2 linked regions of the Cricetulus griseus genome follow. The protein of the gene in region 1 binds, or shares a complex with, the protein of each later gene. Links are inferred from orthologs where the notes say so. Each region holds a gene or a part of one and is shown in the gene's direction. Other genes may lie near its edges. The genes, in order: gastric inhibitory polypeptide receptor and Gip.

Region 1 (4,374 bases):
GCTGTGAATGAACTTGCTACTCACAGAGTCACACTCCATGCGTGCCAGGCTCCAAGTGTAAGTGGCTGGACGGTAGAGTGTGTGTTCTGTGTGGCTGGGGGTGGGGTGGGGTGGGGGAGGGCCGGACCATAACTGTGTGGCTGCTCCTACGTGACACAGAGTGGCTGTGATAAACGTGCCTGCTCCGCAGTTCCCACTCTTCCCCAGAGCTACCCCCCTCCTGTTCTGTTCCACCCTGGCCCCGCCCCCTCCAACACCCCAGGCTGCCAGCGCCTGTCACCTCTTCCAGAGCTCAGACAGGCGAGGCAGGGCAGCTGTGGCAGGAGAAGGAGACCCGGAGATTAGGAGCAGGGACTGGGCACAGGTAAGGGGTCCCCATCAACCCCCTGCCCTGGGTCTATCTCTCCCTCGTCTCTGTCTCTCTGTCTCTACCTTTGTCTCTCTCTCTCTCTGCCTTTAGCCCGGTCATCCCTCCCTTCACCTCTCAGTCTCTAGTGGGCTTAATTTCCACTCTTTTCCCATTCTCTCTCTGTCTCTCCCGGCTCACTCCTTTTGGTCTCCGAGCCCACATTTTTGTCTCTGCCCTTTTTTGCCTTTTGGTCTCTGATCTCCTGCTATGTCTCATTGTCCCTGAGTCTGAGATTCCCTCCTGAAACCCTGCTTTCGGTCGGGGTGGGTGATGCTTGCTTGCGGAGTATTTAGCATGCTAAAGTCAGAAACCCAGGCTCTAATTTCCCAGTATTTGGATGCTAGGAGAACGTTGTCTTTCTGACTCTGGGCTTTATGTATCCAAAGCCAGGAAAGTTTTAGAAGATGGGTTCCTATCTCATTTAAAAAAACATTTTGGGTTGGGAAGATGGGAACTCAAATGGTCATTTCAGGTTCCCTTCTAGACTTGACTGATGGTTTCTATCTCCTCCCCACCCAACTCCCCAACCCCCACCCCACACACACCAGAAGGTCCCAGGTTCCTGAGTCTCTCCAGTCTAGCCTCTGGTTGACACTGAGGCTTCTGCCCGTCACAGCTCTAGGGCAACAGGCCCCTCAGCAAACACCCCTCCCTTCCACCTTGGCTGCCTCAGCAACACTTAGGAGGGCCTGGGAATCGCTGAGCTGATCAGGGCTGCACTTAACCACTGGAGGCCTCGCCTAGTCCGGCCCCACCCCAAATCCTCCTCACCTGTGCATAAATGGGGGTGGCCTCAGACTCAGTGTGCATCTGGCAGGTGAGCACTGACTGAGGCTGAAAGTGTTGATCCTGCCCTGGGACCCTCCAACCCAACTGCCTGCCAGTCTCCATCACCCTTCAAGGATGCCCCTGTGGCTTCTGCTGCTGTGTCTGTGGGGACTGCCCCTCCAGAAGGCGGAGGTGAGGACCCAGAGAGACACAGGCGGTCTGGGAGGGTTTTAAGCCTTCTCCTGCCTCAAGGAGAGTTCTGAGGCTGCAGTCTGGTGGTTTGTACCCACACCTTCCCTCACAAGTCCTCCCGGTGGGTGGGGTGCAGCCACCGCCCTTCTCTGGTGCTCTGAAAAGTTTGTCGTCTCTCATGTCAGAACCCTTGGTGCTCTGAAAAATTTGTCATCTCTCATGTCAGATCCCTTGGTGGTTTTCTAGGCGCCAGAATTATTCCATCTAAAAGATTTGTAAACCACCCAGGAGGCTCTGCATCTCCAAAACGGGTGCTTCTGGCCCTTCCCAATCGAGCTTGCTGCCTGGGAGGGGGTCACCCTGGGGGTGGGGGTCCTCTCTTCCCTTTTTCTCTTAGACAGACTCTGAGGGGCAGACAACGGGGGAGCTGTACCAGCGCTGGGAGCGCTATGGCCGGGAGTGCGAGGAGACCCTGGAGGCTGCAGATGCTCCCTCAGGTCTGATGAGAGGGCTGGGCGAGCAGGAGGGAGGGGCCGAGATGAGGAGGGGGAGGCCGAAGAGGAAAATCTGGGAGGTTTCCGAGGACATTTGGGGTGCGGTTTGGCTCGGGTAGGCTGTGAGGACCCTGGTTGGATTCAGTTGAATAGAAGAATCCTTAATCTCAGCACTCGGCAGGCAGAGGCAGGCGGATCTTTGTGAGTTCGAGGCCAGCCAGCTCTGCAGGGCGAGTTCCAGGGCCGGGGAGGTGGGATGGGTCCTGGGCGGGGCCTGCGCCACAATGGGCGGGCTGGGTTTGGGTGGAGTTGGATAATTAAGCTTTCTGGTTGAGAATAATAATACAGGGTTGGGCTTTATTTGATGGGAGGAGCCTCGGGAACTGCTGGGATGGATGGATGGGTGAGAGGAGCTTGTGGCCGCTGAGACAGCATCCTGTATGTGTGGAAGAAAGGGAAGCTTGGGACGCCCCTCTCCTCCAGCCTCCGGCTCTGCTGCCCTCTCCTTCAGGCGTGGTCTGTAACGGGTCCTTTGATATGTACGTCTGCTGGGACTACACGGCCGCCAACACCACCGCCCGGGCATCCTGCCCCTGGTATCTGCCCTGGTACCGCCACGGTGAGGCGCTCCCCGAACCCCTCTCCGGGACTCCACATTTGGGCAGCTCACCCTCCTGCTCCTATTCGTCCCCTGACCCTGTCTGTCAAGCCTGGTGTTTCCGTGGGCTCTGTCACACAATTCTTAATTTATTGTGCGGCTGTGCGGATGCACAGGCTATGCGGTGAGATGATGATAAGAGATCAATTTACAGTAATCCTTTCACCATCTGGGTCCCAGGCGCTACCAACTCCTCCAGGGACCAGGCTGGCCTTGAGCTCATGGCAACCCTCCTGTCTCAGCCTCCCAATTGTGGAGATTACAGTGGTGAACCGCTTACACACCTCTTTCTCTGGTCCCCTCTCTATTGCTCCCCTAGTGGCTGCGGGCTATGTCTTCCGCCAGTGTGGCAGTGATGGCCAGTGGGGGCCTTGGAGAGATCACACTCAGTGTGAGAATCCAGAGAAGAACGGGGCCTTCCAGGTGAGAAGAGGTGAAGGACTCAGGCTAGGCTGTCTGGGGAGAGTTGGCAAAAACACCTCAGGAGCTTCAAGCCCAACTTGTCACCTCTTTGTACTGAGTAGAACTCTGGCTTGTTAGTAATTAAAATCCAACTCAGACTGGCTTAAAGTAGAAAAAAGAAAGGGGTGCTGGTTTCCGAGATGGAAACCTACACTATAAGGTCACACCTCCAGGTTGCGTAAGACCTAAGTGTCCAAATGACACGGGCTCTGTCACCTTGGCATGTTGGTCTTTCTCTGTTAGCTTGAGTTTTTCTGTGGGACATCAAGAAGAGGCATCGCCCATTAATGTCAGACTTGTTTTATTTTTTTAAAAAGATTTTATTTATTTATCAGGTATACAAAATTCTGCTTCCATGTATATCAGCACACCAGAAGAGGGCACCAGATCTCATAACGGATGGTTGTGAGCCACCATGTGGTTGCTGGGAATTGAACTCAGGTCCTCTGGAAGAACAGTCAGTGCTCTTAACCTCTGAGCCATCTCTCCAGCCCCCAGACTTTTTTTTTTTTTTTTTGGTTTGTTTTTTTCGGGGTTTCTCTGTGGCTTTGGAGCCTGTCCTGGAACTAGCTCTTGTAGACCAGGCTGGTCTCGAACTCACAGAGATCCTCCTGCCTCTGCCTCCCGAGTACTGGGATTAAAGGTGTGCGCCACCAACACCCGGCTTAAAAGTCCTTTATTAGAGTGTGTGTGCGAGTGTGCACCATAGCGTATGTAGAGAGGACAACTTTGTGTATTTGGTTCTTTCTTTCCACCTTTCTGAGGATCCCAGGTGGACTCAGGTCACCAGGTTTGTGCGGCAAAGGCACCTGCTGAGCCATTTTGCCATCTCTCTTTTTTTTTTTTGTGGTGATTTGAGACAGGAGGATCTCATTGTGTAGTTGTGGCTCACTCTGTAGACCAGGCTGGCATGCATGTGCGCGTGCTTGTGTGTGTGTGCTTGTGTGTGTGTGTGTGTGTGCGCGAGCGCGCGTGTGCTTGTGTGTGTGTGTGTGTGTGTGTGTGTGTGTGTGTGTGTGTTAATATGCACATCCAGGGGCCTGGAGAGATGGCTCAGTGGTTAAGAGCACTGACTGCTCTTCCAGAGGTCCTGAGTTCAATTCCCAGCACCCACATGGTGGCTCACAACCACCTTGAATGAGATCGGGTGCCCTTTTCTGGCATGCAGGCACAAGACTGTATATGTAATAAATAAATAAAATCTTTAAAAAAATATGCACATCCAGCCTTAGAAGCGAAGGATGGAGTCAACCCCACTTGAAGACTTGTAAGTCGTGTTTCAAGGAGAAAACCAGGGTGCTTCACTCTGCAAGAACAGAATAAAGGGGGCCTTTCCCCAGAGGAGAGCGGGCTGGGGGAGGAGAGAAAGGCATGCTGGGCAGCCCTACTCC
Region 2 (4,455 bases), on another chromosome or scaffold:
AATGAGACCAACTTGGGCTACATGTCTAGAAAATATATCTTTGTGGAGGGTGTTAGATCTTTCTGGAGCCTTCAACATATAATTGTGCCATGTCATACTGCCCAAGTAGGAAACCATGTGACTGTAAACTCCAAGTTCATCAGAATCACTAGGGATTCTGAAGACACCCACCCCCAGGTAGCCTCATCTCTGCACTGCCACCACCATCAATTAATATCCATATCTGGGATTCAGACCACCACTGTCCCTTCTCTTCCCCCAGAAGTCACCTACGGCTTTGTGGGGATGCCCCCTCCATCAGAGAGTGCCACCTCAGTTACCCTTCACCCAGGTAACCCTTTCTATCCGCAGCACCCAACAGGAAGTAGGGCAGAGAAAAGTGGGCCCAATGCCCAGAAAAGAGGGGAAGGAAAATGGGGTGTTCAAATGACCTTGCCCACAAGGGCTGGAGATACCCAAATGTTAATCACCCATTAGCACAGCCCAGGTGGACAGGGAACCGTCATTAGGTGTGCAATAGACTTCACTGGGCAGGAGCAGTGGGCTTGAGTACCTGAGATAAGAGGCTCTCAGGCTAATCAGCGGCTCTGCAGCACCTGCATATAAAGAAGCTAAGATGGGTCTTGAAGCAAGGTCCTGAGAGCCAACGGGAGAAGGAAGGGACCCTATCCTGCCCTCCTGGAAGAGCTAGAAGAGCAGTGGGGTAAGAAAGAGGCCGGGATAGCAATGGAATAGCCTGGGAGGAAGTGTGTCTCCTGGCCCCTTACTCTGTCTCCTTATCTGTACGGGAATCCAGAAGATAGTTCAAAGGGATTCCCAGGGAGACCAGGTCTCCAAGCCTTGGGCTAGCTCTGGCCTTCAGGGATCTGGAGGAAGGTTTCTTGCTGCCTGCTGTCTCTCCAGAAGACTGAAAGAGGAGGAAGGTTTCTTGCTGCCTGCCGTCTCTCCAGAAGACTGGATTGGGTTCAGAAGAAACTTTAGGAAGAACTTCCAAGTTGCGATAGTTAAGCCCAAGTGTGTGTGTGTGTGTGTGTGTGTGTGTGTGTGTGTGTGTGTGTGTGTGTGTAGGATGGTTCTCTGTGTGGTTTCATCTAGAGAAGGGATTTGATGGCTGAGTAACAGCTTAGTTGGAAGCGGGAAGGTGGGCTGCTGTGAACTTTGTCGGGGCTTTAAGGGGATAATCTTGCCAAATCCTGTCCCTGTGATGTCTGGTAATGAGCCAGAAAGGGAGTTCCCACCACCTAGGCCTTTGCTGATTTCTTCCCAGACCTTCCACCCCACCCCACTCCGAAACCACACAGCAAGATCAGCTCTGGGTCAAGGCTCCATGCCCCTTCCAGTCCCTTCCTGTAACCCTAACTTGCTCCTGCCCCACCCCAGCTCTCAGAACTTGCCCAAGTCCCAGCATCAAATGGCCTCCTGGATGTCCCCTCAGTGCAGTACTGGCCCTTTTTCCTTTCAGCTCAGGCACTCAACCTAGGAAGATGGTGGCTATGAAGATCTGCTCTCTGCTGCTAGTGCTCCTCTTCCTGGCGGTCGGGCTGGGAGAAAAAGAAGAGGCTCAATTCAGGTAGGAGTGGAAGGTGGAGGGGGCTGGAATATAAGCTGGTTTGGGATAGGGATTGTGAGAAAGGGACTCCAGGCTGAGAGGAGGGGAGTTAAAGAGGAGAGCCAGTCTGCAGCCTGAGCATGTCGGCTTATTTATTGCGAGTTCCCGTTGAAATGAGAAAGACTGGGGTTAGCTAGGTCTGTGGAAGGACTTTTTGGTGGCAGAGAGTCTGCAGTGTAGGGTCTCCCTTACAAAAACTAACCATCATTGATGCATGCACACATTCACTCAGATCTCATAAGCGCTTCCTGTGCACTAGACACGGTCAGAATACATGTGAACCAAGGTTCACTGATGGCTCCTGCCTTCAGTGAGTACATGGACCACGGCAGACACAGAAAAGAACCATATAAACATGTTACAGAGTGCCAGGCGGTGGTGGCGCATGCCTTTAACCCCAGGCAGAGGCAGGTAGATCTCTGTGAGTTCGAGGCCATTCTGGTTTACAAAGCTACACAAAGAAACCCTGTCTTGGAACAAGCAAACAAACATGTTACTGAGTACAGTGGACCAGACCTGTGATGGGATAATATTGAGTGTGGCAGTTCACTCCTATAACTTTAACTTCAGCACTTGGCAGGCAAGAGACAAGGAAAACTGAAAAGTATGAGGCTAGCCTGGGCTACATAACAAGACCAGAGTCTGGAGGAGGGAGAGGAGGGGGGAGAAGAGGAGGAGGAGGAGAAGGAGGAGGAGGGAGGAGGAGGAGGAGGAGGAGGAGGAGGAGGAGGAGGAGAAGGAGGAGGCGGAGGCAGAGGAGATGATGAGAGTCAGAGAGGCAGAGCCAGAGCTCTGATGGTGTGTTTGGGGACCGAGGCAGAGGCTTGTCAAATAGTACTGGATTTTGTCAGATGAAAGGGCAATCCATGTACCACACAAAGTTGGCACACATGAAATGTGAGCAAAAGTTGTCAGAAATACCTACCAGGAGAGCAGACCTTGTGTTTGTTTAGAACAATGACTCAGGCCAGGCAGTAGTGTCATATGCCCTTAATCTCTGCACTTAGGAGGCACAGGAAGGCAGATAGCTCTGAGTTAGAGGCCAGCCTGGTCTACAGATCTAGTTCCAAGACAACCAGGGCCACACAGAGAAAAGCTGGCTCAAAAAGCCAAAAAGCAAAACAAAACAACAGAGGCAGGCAGTGAGTTCCAGGCCAGCCAGGGCTACAAAGTGAGACCCTGTCTCAAAAAAAAAAAAAAAAAGAACAGAAACTCAGGAAGCCAGTGTCGTGTGTCATGCTGCCTACATCCCCGGACTAGTGAGAGGGCTCAGGAAGATCAGGAGTTCATGGTGAACTTGAGCTACACAGTGAGCTTGAGGCCAGCCTGGGATACAAGAGATCTTGCTTCCCAGAACCTTAACAAACCTAAAGCAGCAACAACAACAATCCCAGAGGGTTGGGGCCGGGAAACACTCCTCGGTGGTACAGAACTTGCCTGGCATGCATGAGACTTATAGATTCCATCCCTAGAACTGAAAGACAAACAGTGCCCCCTCCCAGAAACCTGGCTCCAAATTAATTAGTGAATCCTGAATCTGTCATTTATACTGTGTGGGACCCTGTTTTCCTCATTCACAAAATAGGGACACAGAAGGCAGGCAAACTGGTGGTGGTGGTTGTTCAAAACAGAGTTTCTCTGTGTAGCCCTGGCTATCCTGGAACTCATTCTGTAGACCTTGAACTCAGATCCCTGTTTCCCAAGTGTTGGGATTAAAGGCATGCACCATCACCATCACCACCACCACCAGGCTAAGCGTGGTGAAACACTTACCTGGCATGTGCAAGGTCCTGGATTTGATCCCAGAACCAAAGAGAGAGAGAGAGAGAGAGAGGAGAGAGAGAGAGAGAGGAGAGAGAGAGAAAGAGAGAGAGAGAGAGAGAGAGAGAGAGAGAGAGAGAGAGAGAGAGGAGGAGGGCTGGGGAGATGGCTCAGTGGTTAAGAACACTGGTTTCTCTTCCAAAGGACCAGGGTTCAAGTCCCAGTACCCACAAGGCAGCTCACAGTCTAACTGTAGTTCCAGTGGATCCAACACCTTCACACAGACATGCATGCAGGCAAAACACTAATGTACATAAAATAAAAATAAATTTAAGAAAAGGAGGGGGGGGCTGGAGAGATGGCTCAGCGGTTAAGAGCACTGACTCTTCTTCCAGAGGTCCTGAGTTCAGTTCCCAGCAACCATATGGTGGCTCACAACCATCTTGAAAGAGACCTGGTGCCCTCTGCTAGCATGCAGGTGGAAGACATAATAGATAAATAAAATCTTTAAAAAAAAAGAAAAAGAAAAAGAAAAAGGAGATGAGATACAAATAGTACCTGTCTGATAGGGCTGTGATGGGATAATTTTGTGTACTAAAAAGTTTGTACAGACTGGGGATGTAGTGCAGTGGTAAGACACTTGCCTAATGTATACAAGGCACTGGGTTCAATTCCCAGTACCGAAAAAAAATATAAACCAAAGCTCTCATGCAGTGCTTGAGTCAAAGTAAGTACTCTCTGTGATGTCACCAAATACTGTTATTGTTGGTGTTGCTATATTGACACAGGATCTAAATATGTAGCCCAGGGCAGTTTAAAACTTTGGCATCTGGGGCCAGTGAGATGGCTAAGAGGGTAAAGTCACTTGCCCAGCGATGCAAGCCCGACAACCTGAGTTCAATCTGCAGAGGGCACAAAAATGTGGGAGGAGAGAAATAACTCCACAGAGGCACCCACTGGCCTGCACATGTGCTCTGTCATGGAAACATCCCATAATAATAATAAAATATAAACAACAGAATTTGGGATCCCCTTGCCTCCAGCTCCTGAACACTGAGATTACTGACACTGAGCCTTTGGGAGTT

The links.
Region 2: the proteins of gastric inhibitory polypeptide receptor (region 1) and Gip are in contact, whole or in part, in a cryo-EM structure (PDB 7RA3), measured with the Homo sapiens proteins. The link is inferred for Cricetulus griseus from reciprocal best matches to the Homo sapiens genes GIPR and GIP. Residues at the interface, in NP_000155.1 of Homo sapiens: Gln30, Thr31, Ala32, Leu35, Tyr36, Trp39, Tyr68, Trp71, Leu88, Trp90, Arg101, Arg113, His115, Asn120, Gln130, Arg131, Leu134, Glu135, Leu137, Gln138, Tyr141, Tyr145, Arg183, Ile187, Arg190, Asp191, Pro197, Gly198, Pro199, Tyr200; in NP_004114.1 of Homo sapiens: Tyr52, Ala53, Glu54, Gly55, Thr56, Phe57, Ile58, Ser59, Asp60, Tyr61, Ser62, Ile63, Ala64, Met65, Asp66, Lys67, Ile68, His69, Gln70, Gln71, Phe73, Val74, Trp76, Leu77, Leu78, Lys81.

Annotation. Positions count from the first base shown.
Region 1 is NC_048602.1:28,197,716-28,202,089, forward strand, and holds the start of gastric inhibitory polypeptide receptor, read left to right. Parts: upstream 1-1,312; coding exon 1,313-1,369; intron 1,370-1,766; coding exon 1,767-1,866; intron 1,867-2,374; coding exon 2,375-2,482; intron 2,483-2,840; coding exon 2,841-2,944; intron 2,945-4,374. UniProt on the Homo sapiens protein: This is a receptor for GIP. The activity of this receptor is mediated by G proteins which activate adenylyl cyclase.
Region 2 is NC_048600.1:109,160,597-109,165,051, forward strand, and holds the start of Gip (gastric inhibitory polypeptide), read left to right. Parts: upstream 1-1,472; 5' UTR 1,473-1,484; coding exon 1,485-1,570; intron 1,571-4,455. UniProt on the Homo sapiens protein: Potent stimulator of insulin secretion and relatively poor inhibitor of gastric acid secretion.